Xenopus tropicalis: one gene and its partner. The protein of the gene in region 1 interacts with the protein of each later gene in a biochemical or structural test. Links are inferred from orthologs where the notes say so. Each region holds a gene or a part of one and is shown in the gene's direction. Other genes may lie near its edges.

Region 1 (5,672 bases):
CTTACTTTCTGAGTGGCACCTTGCCTCTGCAATCTGCCCCGGAATAATGGGGAAAAGGAAGGATTCAACAAGGAAATATTATTAAAAGATTTTGCCAAGCAGTAATATTTGAGTTATATGTGACTTATGTGAGTAATGTGTCTGATTCATATCCCTTATTTAAGAAAACTGAATTACAGATGCTTATTATGTAATATATAATAATATATAATAATATGTAATAATATAATATAAATTATTTGAAAGAGCTATAAATAACCTGCAAAATAAATCCTTATAGATGGTGTTTTTCATGCCTTTTTTTACCATAAGAGTGCATTTTCACTTATAATACAAAACTGGTACTTTGACTTTCATGTATTTTTGAGCCTTTAAATAGTCTCAGAACCTTTCATGGAATTCTAGTATCCTTATCATTTACAGTAGGGGGTACATTATCCCTTATAATACATGAGTGATACTCAGAGTTCCCTGTATAACTCAGCCTGCAGCCTTGTGCCTTTATATGGGGGGCACAGAACCCCTCAGTAACTGCTAATATCCTTATCATTTACAGTAGGGGGTACATTATTCCTTATAATACATGAGTGATACTCAGAGTTCCCTGTATAACTCAGCCTGCAGCCTTGTGCCTTTATATGGGCACAGAACCCCTCAGTGACTGCTAATATCCTTATCATTTACAGTAGGGGGTACATTATCCCTTATAATACATGAGTGATACTCAGAGTTCCCTGTATAACTCAGCCTGCAGCCTTGTGCCTTTATATGGGCACAGAACCCCTCAGTGAGTGCTAATATCCTTATCATTTACAGTAGGGGGTACATTATCCCTTATAATACATGAGTGATACTCAGAGTTCCCTGTATAACTCAGCCTGCAGCCTTGTGCCTTTATATGGGCACAGAACCCCTCAGTGACTGCTAATATCCTTATCATTTACAGTAGGGGGTACATTATCCCTTATAATACACAAATATTTTTAAATCCATATATTTTTACCTAGGGGTATATTATTCCCTATCTGTTCCTTACTGCAGAACCTACAGGCACAATATAGTATTATAAGCACAAAGGGATGTTTACTTTTAAGCTTGATGTCAGTTTATGGATTCGTAGGAAATGTACTTTGCATCCTAGAATTTTAAATGCAAATGTTATTAATGTGCAGAATAATAGTCAGACCTTTATATGTATCCTTGTTCCTTGTTAGAGTTTTAGAAAATTCCATTTTTAGCACATTGCCCTTTTGCATTGCGCACCCTTACGTTTATTTAAAGGGCTTCAGGGAAGGTTACAGAGACAGATCTTATATTGGAGTTTTGGTGAAGGAGGAAGAGGAGGGTAAGAAGGCTTGTGTAGTAATGACTATAAAGGTGGAAGCTGGAATTCATTGCCTAGGGAATTACACAGTAACATGTGGGAGGCCGTCTACTCACTATTACCTTACTGCTGGAGAAGGAAGACTTGTACAAATACATTTTGTATATAATTCTGTTTACAAAATGTGGGCAGAAATTGCATTTAGTGCTCATTTACTGATGCAAGTGCAGTGTACCAAGTAGGGTTGCCATCTTGCCAACTCAGCCAGTAAAATACCAGCAAAGGGTGGGGCTATTATTAAAAAATTACTGCCAATATATACTGGGTATATATAATTTGTAATTCAATTGGGCCCTTGCCGCCTTACATTCGCCCCCAGCCCGCCCCTTTCTTCCCTCCACACTAACCTAATCCAACTAATCTGGTTTGGTCCCCTTGATGATTAGACTCCACCCCTGTGACATCATGGCCCCACCCATTTATGTCACTATCTATATCTTTATGGACCCATCACCGCGCAGCCGGTAGAGTTTATAGAAAAAGGTGACAACCCTAGTACCAAGCAAAAAAACAACAAGAAAAAAAAAACAAAAAAATCATAAATTGCTAATTTTTGGGCCACAGTGAATCACAAGGCTTACACAGCTGTGTTATGGCCAGTATGTGGGAATGCATGCTGTTATATTTATATTTTTAGTTGCTTATTGGGGGGGGGGGGGGTAATGCAATGAGCAACATCACCTGTGATGTTTTACTCCACTTTTTACACAGCATGATAAATATACCCCTTGGTGTTTTATGAAGTTTTTTTAACTGCAATTCTTGGGTTTTCCTAAAACCTGCCCACTCTTTGGACAACATGAACATAGTGTTACTGAAACCATCTTTCCCTGCTGTCCTATCTTACTTTGATTTATCAGTTTTCCCTACCTTTTCTGCCAATAGCTGTTGCCCTAGGGCAGTTATCCCCAACCAGTGGCTCAGGGGCAACATGTTGCTCCCCAACCCCTTGGGTGTTGCTCTCAGTGCCCCCAAACCAGGGAGTTATTTTTTCCTGACTTGGGGGCAAGTTTTGGTTGAATAAAAACAAGATTTCCTACCAAATAAAGCCCCCTGTAAGCTGATAGGGTGCATAGAGGCCCCTAATAGCCAATCACAGCCCTTATTTGGCTCCTCCATGAACTTTTATGGTGCTTGTGTTGCTCCCCAAGTCTTTTTATATTTGACTGTGGCTCTCGAGTAAGAAAGGTTGGGGATCCCTGCCCTACAGAGATAGACTATGTACCAGGCCCAGGCCAGTCTATTTTTACGCACCCATTTAAAGGCAGTTCTGTGTGATAGTCCTTTATTTGCTACCCTGCTGATAGTAATGCAGACATATTCTTTCTTTCTAGTTCTCAAGAGCTGCACCAATGTTCCCTCAAAGTGATGCTGTCAGAAGGAAGCCCCTCACGCAGTTTGCTAAAATTAATGGGGGAACGAGGATGCACCACAAAGGATCTGACAGAGTTCCTACAGAGTATCGGCCAGTCAAATGCTATTCAGTTGCTGAAGCCCCCAGGTCAGACTTTGTTGCCTTGTTTAGCCTCTAAGCTATGATGGACATATCTGGTGTTCCTGTGGATAAACAGTCATGGAAACATTTGTCAGGGGTTTAGATTTGGCATATCAATGTCTCCCCCCCTACTCTGACCTCATTATTTATTGCCCTTAACTACAAATAAGCCTTTTATAGATGGGCTATCTGTAGTTCAGAGCAATAAATATTTAATAAGGTCAAAGATTTGGGACTTTGTGTGGAAATAATGACGGCTGGGAGGTATCGAAATATTATGTGATTTAAAATTTATAAAAACTCATTATTTTACAGGTATGTTACCCATTATCCAGAATGCTCTGGACCCACACTTTTCCTTATAAGGGATCTTTCTTTAATTTGGATCCCCATAACTTAAGTCTGCTAAAAATCATTTAAATATTGAATAAACCCAATAGGGCTGTTCTGCCCCCAATAAGGGGTAATTATATCTTAGTTGGGATCAAGTACAGGTATTGTTTTATTATTACAGAGAAAAGGGAATCATTTAACCATGAAATAAACCCAATAGGGCTGTTCTGCCCCCAATAAGGGGTAATTATATCTTAGTTGGGATCAAGTACAGGTACTGTTTTATTATTACAGAGAAAAGGGAATCATTTAACCATGAAATAAACCCAATAGGGCTGTTCTGCCCCAATAAGGGGTAATTATATCTTAGTTGGGATCAAGTACAGGTACTGTTTTATTATTACAGAGAAAAGGGAATCATTTAACCATTAAATAAACCCAATAGGGCTGTTCTGCCCCAATAAGGGGTAATTATATCTTAGTTGGGATCAAGTACAGGTACTGTTTTATTATTACAGAGAAAAAGGAAATCATTTTTAAAAATTAGAATTATGTGTTTATAATGGAGTCTATGGGAGATGGTCTTTCCGTAATTCGGAACTTTCTGGATAACAGGTTTCCGGATAAGGGATCCCATACCTGTATTATATATTGTAAATTTTTATTTTTGACTCAAGGGCAATATTTACCGATATATATATATTCCAGTTTGGGGAGATTATTTAATAGGCCACTTGATTTAATATAAACTATCTGTTGGTTAAGTATTCATTCTGGGGGGGGTATAGTTTTCTTTAGTATACACCCTAAGGATATTATTGTTTCTGTTCATTTTTGGGTGTGTGCATAGACAGATGATAACATGTATAACATGGAGATTTCCCCAGCCATAAGCATTTAAATGACTCAAGGAAACATATCAGTTTGTGCTGCCAAATTGTATTTAGCCACCAAACATGCAATGTTATATCTATAGGAATATGTTGTCAATAACTAGCATTTGCCTTGTCATGTTTATAGGGTTCTACAGGTTCCTCTCTATGGGTTCCTCCTGCTTGCATCAAGATCTAATGCAACATTACAAAGCCATTATTAATTGTTAAGACATATATAATTATTACTATAAGCAGTCATAACACTTTTTAAAGGGCACCTATTGCTCCCAGCAAATACTGTGGCTCAGTGTATGCCTAATTGCCTGTTCCAGTGCCTGTATTGCTGTGTAACCACCTTCTCTAGCGGTGCTGCTGCCAATACATTGGGAGAAACCACAAACACTTCTGTTAATTTACAATAGGGATCCATATGTGCCTTTTAGTGCCCAGTAGCAAGGCATTAATGGCAGCGGGCTTCATTGTGCACAACCGCCTGGAACTTATTGGGGCAGGCTGGGCGGCCATGTTGGCCCTTACCACAAGATGCCAAGGAGCATGTTTTGATGCAGGTTCCTTTGTGAATAGCATCAATGCGAGATTAATTCTTTGTGTGTTGCATATGTAACTGACTATTGAATAACCTAGTGGACGATCAGTTCCCTTGGGGTACTATTAGATATATTACAGACTTCTTTGGAAAACCATACCCCTAGCATGAATACAGGTACAGGACCCGTTATCCAGAATGCTTGGGACCAAGGGTATTCCGGATAAAGGGTCTTTCCGTAATTTGGATCTCTATACCTTAAGTCTGCTAAAAAATCAATAAAACATGAATTAACTTAACATGAATTTTATTATTACAGAGAAAAGGGAATCATTTAACCATTAAATAAACCCAATAGGACTGTTCTGCCCCCAATAAGGGGTAATTATATCTTAGTTGGGATCAAGTACAGGTACTGTTTTATTATTACAGAGAAAAGGTAATCATTTAACCATGAAATAAACCCAATAGGGCTGTTCTGCCCCAATAAGGGGTAATTATATCTTAGTTGGGATCAATTACAGGTACTGTTTTATTATTACAGAGAAAAGGGAATCATTTAACCATTAAATAAACCCAATAGGGCTGTTCTGCCCCCAATAAGGGGTAATTATATCTTAGTTGGGATCAAGTACAGGTACTGTTTTATTATTACAGAGAAAAGGGAATCATTTAACCATGAAATAAACCCAATAGTGCTGTTCTGCCCCCAATAAGGGGTAATTATATTTTAGTTGGGATCAATTACAAGGTTCTGTTTTATTACTACAGAGAAAAAGGAAATTAGTTTTAAAATTCTGAATTATTTGATTAAAATGGAGTCTATGGGAAACGGGCTTTCCGTAATTCGGAGCTTTCTGGAAAACGGGTATCCGCATAAGGGGTCTGATACCTGTACTTAACCAGCAGATAGTTTATATCGTATTAAGTGGCCTATTAAAGATTATTACCAAACTTTTGCATGTTTTCCCTTAAACCACCATTATGTGATGGGCTGTGTGCTCCCTCAGAGATCAGCTGACAGGAAGTTACATAGTT
Region 2 (6,218 bases), on another chromosome or scaffold:
AGTTAATAATGAGTATGGGCAGCCACAGCTGCAAATAATGTTCCTCAATAATACAACACCTTTAATTTAGGGTTTCAGTCATGCTTTTGTGAGAAAGAATCTTACCTATTTGTCCATCAATGGTTAAACTTAGTCCAGTACAAGTAGGAAGTGGATGAGTGGTGGGTGAGCTTTTTTTAAGGGTTGATGCACAGTACTGATATTTACCATGTGCCTAACACAACAGAAAAGGGGTAGCTGTTTTTGTAGTCATTAGTGGGTGATTAGAAAGCACAATTTGATAACAGTAAAAATCAGCAAGCCATATAGCTTCAATGCTGCATTGTTGGTCAAAAACAATGAACTTTTGCCCAAAATGAGACTTTTGATCTTTTAGCACAGTGCTGTTTAACTTATCATATGTAGTTGGTCAATTATATGTCATACAGTATGTTGGAGGGCCAGATATAAAATATTGATGTCATATAGTGAAATTTATGGAGCCTTTGAGCAGTCTGGGGGGTCATAAAAATCTATGGAGGGCCAAATCTGGCCCGTGGGCCTTCAGTTGGACAGCCCTGTTTTAGGATATGGAGAATAGGATTTCATGCAACTGTGATAACAGTAATTTACCTTTTCCGGTCCTGTTAGATTTGCTATTCTCCATTAAGTCATAACAGGATTCTGGGAACAAATTCCTTTAGGCTCTTAGAAAAGTCCCATTTACATGGGCTTGTCCCATTTACATGGGTTTATCCTATAGACTAATGTTGACCCACTGGGTTTTCAATGCCAGGATAATAGCTGATCAGATTCCCAACTACAGACCAGTTTCACCCTTCTTGGGGCTCATTAGTGTAGTGCAGGGTTCTCTGATCAGCTTAGGTAAGCCAGGAGTGGGGATTCACAAACAAACTAAAAGGGTTGAGGAGACCGCCTCATACGTATGCAAATAATTCATAACAGGATTCTGGGAACAAATTCCTTTAGGCTCTTAGAAAAGTCCCATTTACATGGGTTTATCCTATAGACTAATACTGACCCACTGGGTTTCCAATGCAAAAGCCAGGATAATAGCTGATCAGATTCCCAACTACAGACCAGTTTCGCCCTTCTTGGGGCTCATCAGTGTAGTGCAGGGTTCTCTGATGAGCTTAGGTAGAGCCAAAGGAATTTGTTCCCAGAATCCTGTTATGACTTATTTGCACACGTATGAGGCGGTCTCCTCAACCCTTTTAGTCTATTCTCCATTAGTAATTCATTAGGGTAAATCATCTCCAATGAAAGGTTCCTTGACTAGCGCCACAAGTCAGAAACCAAGTTTAAACTTAAAGCCTAGCCTAGTTCCTAGGCAGGCAGAATGCAGTATGTTTTGTCCCACCAGTGTAGTAGAACACAGAACATCCCCACAGGAAAGCGCAGGAACTAACACTGGTGAGTACAAGCCCTTAGCTGGTCTAGTGCAGATTGCCAGGCAAGGATCTTGACTTGTAAAGAATAGCTGTGTGCTGAAGACCATGAGATACAGCCAAGGATTTTATCCTCTTTTAGCGCATGCACTCTTTACATGCCAACTGTGGGTTCTATAACCTTTCTTTGACCTGCCACTGGGCATTCAGATATATAGCTTGCTCGCTTGCATGCCAGGGCTGATGGTAGAGTCTCTCTTTCCTCAGCACCATACTTAGGTTAAGAATAGTTAACCTCAAAAATAACTCTTTGTATACTGTGGACATTGATATTTTGACACAAATTGCAGTTGGTCTTTTTTTTTTTATCAGCAGCTCTCCATTTTGTAATTACAGCTGTTATCTGGTGGCTAGGGCCCCATTTACCAAGTAACTTAGGGTTGGTTTAAATGACAGACTGCAAAATTAACTAAAGAGGAAATGAATTGAAAGATAAGTAATAAAAACACAAATAATTTTTTTTTTTAAATTGGTTGCATAAAATAAAAGTTTTTTTAACTGCTGGGTCTGTGACCCCTTGAAATATATATATATATAAGTTTTTAAAATTACAAGCTGGAAAGACGTACAATCCAGGCCAAAAATAAAAAAAAAAACAATAGATTAGCTTAGTCTATAAACTACACCCAAATAATTGTGGTTTTCTAATCTTTAGGATTAGTTCCCCGAACTCCTTGTGTTTATTCACAAATTCCACTGCCTCTCTCACAAAACTCACACAGTAACAGTGAGGACTAACGCTTTAGTGCGGGCTAGTGGCCTTTCCCTTAGTATACTTAGGTCTCTTGCCCACGCCATGGCGGTCCTAAGAATACATTTCTTAAGAAAACCTTCGAGTCCCCGCCCTGCTGCATCCACAACATCCACGCTGAAGCTCCGGCTATGAATCCCATTCACCGAACTCCTTGGCTACCAGGCTCCTGGCAGTGTCGTCACGCTAATGGGAAGTCACGTGTGATTACAGGCAGAGACAAGGGGATTTCCTTGGGCCCAGTCGACGTGACGTTATAGTAGACTTGCGACCAATCGGAAGAGCGGAACGGGGGAATTCCAGACTGGAAAGTGAGCTCCGGGAGAATTGCAGCCTGAGTAGTTGGGGTTCGTTCGTGGTTAGGGGGTGTGTATACTCGGTGCCAAGCCAGTCGGATGGTTAGGGTTCACATACAAATGTAGGATTTCTCAGGTTTTAATTACGGCTTTGAATACAGCAGACACAATGAGAGAAGAGGGGCGGGCAGGTAAGTGCGCGAATGTGCTCCCAAACTTCCACTTGCTCCATCCTAGGAATAAGCAGCTTTTTGTGCTCCAGATGATAGCAAACAACAACTGCCAGGCTAAAGTTGCATGCCCATGTGCCAGATGCCAAATAGTTGCCTGCCCATGTGCCAGATGCCAAATAGTTGCCTGTCCGTGCTCTACCCCATGCACAGTTACCAAAGTAATTGTTATTAATCTTCCTGACTATATGATAGGTCACAATTACAGCACGGTTGTTTCGGCTGTCTGCATATCCGCGGAGTTGTAGTTCAGCACTAGCAGTAGGGACACAGAATGGAAGCTCTACACATAATAAACAGCAGCTTCCTCCTAAGTGCAGGCAACTTCTGTAAACTGCCAGTGTAGAGAGTGTAGTTCCACAGCAGCCCTAAAATCTATATGTTCAGTATTAGCTTGTTTTAAGTTTCCCACCCTACCTCCATGGTGCAGTTAGGGGAATATCCATATAGCAGGATTTCCATGTTTTACTTCTGATAGTCACTAGAAAGAGTAGCTTGTGTAGCAGTGTCTATATAACATGTCTAATATAACATGTGTATATATATATATATATATTTTTTATTTTTTTTTTATTTTTTATTTTTTTATTATATTGACACATTAGGGTTGACCATGAAAGTGTTGCACGTCCCGCTATCTTTAGAGCCCTATTGTACAGATACACTTGTACATTTTTTGATTATACATACCTCTTTTTTTTAGAGACTTCTTTTTTGTCTCAGCAACTTGGGACAACAATTGGTGAGTAACCAGTGTCTTTGTGTATGTGGCAGAGATTGTGTGTGTGCCAGTTTCTATATAACTAGTGTTGGGTCATGGCACTAGTGCCAACATTCCCAAGTCTGATCTTGCCCGTTCCCACACCTTGTGTCTCATCCCCTTCTCCTTATAGATTGCAAGCTCTTTTGGGCAGGTTCCTCTTCACCAATTGTATTGGTTATCGGTTGCTTTGTATGTAATTCTGTATGGCCCATGTGTAAACCAATTTATTGTACAGTGCTGCAACTTTGTAAATACATAATATAATAATAATAATAATAACTATTTGTGGGTGATTGTTTATAAGTTTTAGTACTATTATGCTTGCTGCTAATAAAGTGGCATTAAATTGAACAAATTTGGACAGTCAGACAAGTAACTGTTGGCAATTATTTTGTAGAAAACAAGTGTTCTGTGGGAAATAATAATGCGGGTTCAACTGCATTGTGGAGTCAAGAACTTAAGAGACTGTCACAAATGCTGTTTGAGGCAGGGCTGATTGGAGGACAGAAGCATACAACCATAATATTTAATACTATTATGCTCCATTAGGTTCAAGCTTCACTTTGTGGACTTTACATTATAGCAACTTTACTTAAATTTGTATAAAACATTATTTTATCAGTCACCCTAATAAACAGTTTAACACAACCTCTTCAGAGAACAAACTAAAACAAGACAAGTTTTAATGCACAAATATAATACTAAATTTAAATCATAATGCTACAAATTGTAATGCTCAAATAAAAAAATAAAATATCTAAACATATCTAAACATTTTTTTTGTTCATGGTTTAGGCAATATTCCCCACTCTTCCTTGCAGAACACGTCTTTATTCAGTAGTATACATACAGTATAAGGGGTACAAATAGTATACTCCTTATATACTCCTTGCACTGTTTGTAAGATGTGGACCAAGAAAATATGAGTGATCATAAAACAAACACATTTCTTTTATTTGTTTTTCAAGTATCTCTTTATTGTGCATAAGGAAACACCCACACCACTTAGTTACAGAGAAACCTGTATTTCAGTTGCTTGTGGGGTTTTCTTTGCATTCAAAAAATCTTCATGGAAGATGTGTCTGACATTTTTCCTGGTCTACCTGACAGAAGCCTTAATCTTCTAATTCCTGAGCTTTGACATGTTCAAAGCTTTGTATATCTTTTTATCTCAGTTTATGAAATATTTTTAGCCATATATGTTTGTATAGTTTAGTTTTTCTTTAAGAATCTGCATAAAATACATCCACATTAAAAATAATAATTCATAATTCAATATTTGTCCCTTGGAATGTGGGTTTTGGCAGATAATGGTTGCACAATCCTATATTCTACAAAAAACAGATAAGCAGGTTTTACAGAATTCTCTGGCATTTTTAAAACCCTAAGTCTAATACATTCTGCATAAGCTGATTACAATGGTTTTATGGACCTTTTTCTCAGGCAGGTGTTAGCTGAAATATAGGCAAAATGTCATAGAACAGCATCTTATACCACCCCAATATTTTTCTTGTACTGATGACAATGTGTTTTCAAAATCAGGTAAAATGTGCATCTGGAACATCATCTGGATTCATTTAGTTAGCTTAGTTGCACCTTTAGCCCACTATGGTGGTTAACATTGGTAACATTTTAGTTCAATCCTTTAGGGTCAATAATATAAACACTGGTAAGTGTATGTATTTAGATTTAGATAACTGTACATGCTTTATATGTTTTATCTTATGAAAATAAAAATGGAAAATAAACAAACCTCCATATGGGCACACCTTGCTCTTTCCAACTTGCCCCCCATGTATTTGTTGAATTGACATATAACTTTGATTTAATTCTAATATGTTTTGTTTTAATTATTGTCTTTATTGAGTGTAAACAATTGTAATACAGCAGTAAGTATCACAATATATCAGCTTAGTCATTGTTGGACTGTGGACAGGATACCGGGAAAAAACCCAATGGCCCCCATCGACCCAGTGCCACTCCCATGGCTGCCATTGGTGAGCTTTTGGGTGTTAGGGGGTCTGTCCATGGTTACTTGATTAGCCGTTCTTCTGTGTCAGATTTCCAGCTCACAGAAAAATTCTACAGGGCACACGCATGAGTATGCTCAGTTTGCTCCTCTCCCTCTCCCCCTCTCATCAGCATTTGCTCCCCCTTCCCCACTCTGTGTAATCTGAGCTACCAGCAGCTAGATCTGCAGCATGGAAGCTAAAATGTCAGCTACTATTTTAAACAGAGGGAACTCCTAGGGCTGTTTACGCAGGTATGGTGAAGCTTTCTGCCAAAGGGTCGGACTGGGGGCTGGGCTGCCACCCAAAGGTGCCCCACACACACCCCAGGGGCCTCCACCGCATGCGCACGCCCCATCCCTCCCTCCGAGCATGCATAAGTAGATGCTATTGGGGGAGGGAGGCCAGCTGGGATCGGGTTTTGGCCAGCAGGGCCCAAGGGAGGTTAAAGCCCACCAGATTTTTGCCCGGTGTCCCGCCAGCCCAGTCCGTCTCTGCCAGTAAAATACCAAACTGTCTTTCCTTCCCCTTCAAAGAAAACATCAAGAATGTGCCAGTGCATTATACTCCTCTAAATATACAAAAAAACTACTTTTCTGAGTACATTCTTTAAGACATTTGAATGTGCTCAGAAAAGTAGTTTTTTTGTTTGATTTATTAAAATTTGCTCCACCCATCTGTTTCACGTCCTGCTGCCTCTTTTCCCAGGCTTAGCAGGGCA

The links. The genes of interacting proteins can lie anywhere in the genome.
Region 2: of the proteins of malt1 (region 1) and relb, one has a biochemical effect on the other in vitro, tested with the Homo sapiens proteins (2 studies listed by BioGRID). The link is inferred for Xenopus tropicalis from reciprocal best matches to the Homo sapiens genes MALT1 and RELB.

The regions. Positions count from the first base shown.
Region 1 is NC_030677.2:201,627,438-201,633,109, reverse strand, and holds part of malt1 (mucosa-associated lymphoid tissue lymphoma translocation protein 1), read left to right. Parts: intron 1-2,718; coding exon 2,719-2,885; intron 2,886-5,672. UniProt on the Homo sapiens protein: Protease that enhances BCL10-induced activation: acts via formation of CBM complexes that channel adaptive and innate immune signaling downstream of CARD domain-containing proteins (CARD9, CARD11 and CARD14) to activate NF-kappa-B and MAP kinase p38 pathways which stimulate expression of genes encoding pro-inflammatory cytokines and chemokines.
Region 2 is NC_030684.2:71,126,858-71,133,075, forward strand, and holds the start of relb (transcription factor RelB), read left to right. Parts: upstream 1-2,383; 5' UTR 2,384-2,664; coding exon 2,665-2,686; intron 2,687-3,428; coding exon 3,429-3,467; intron 3,468-6,218.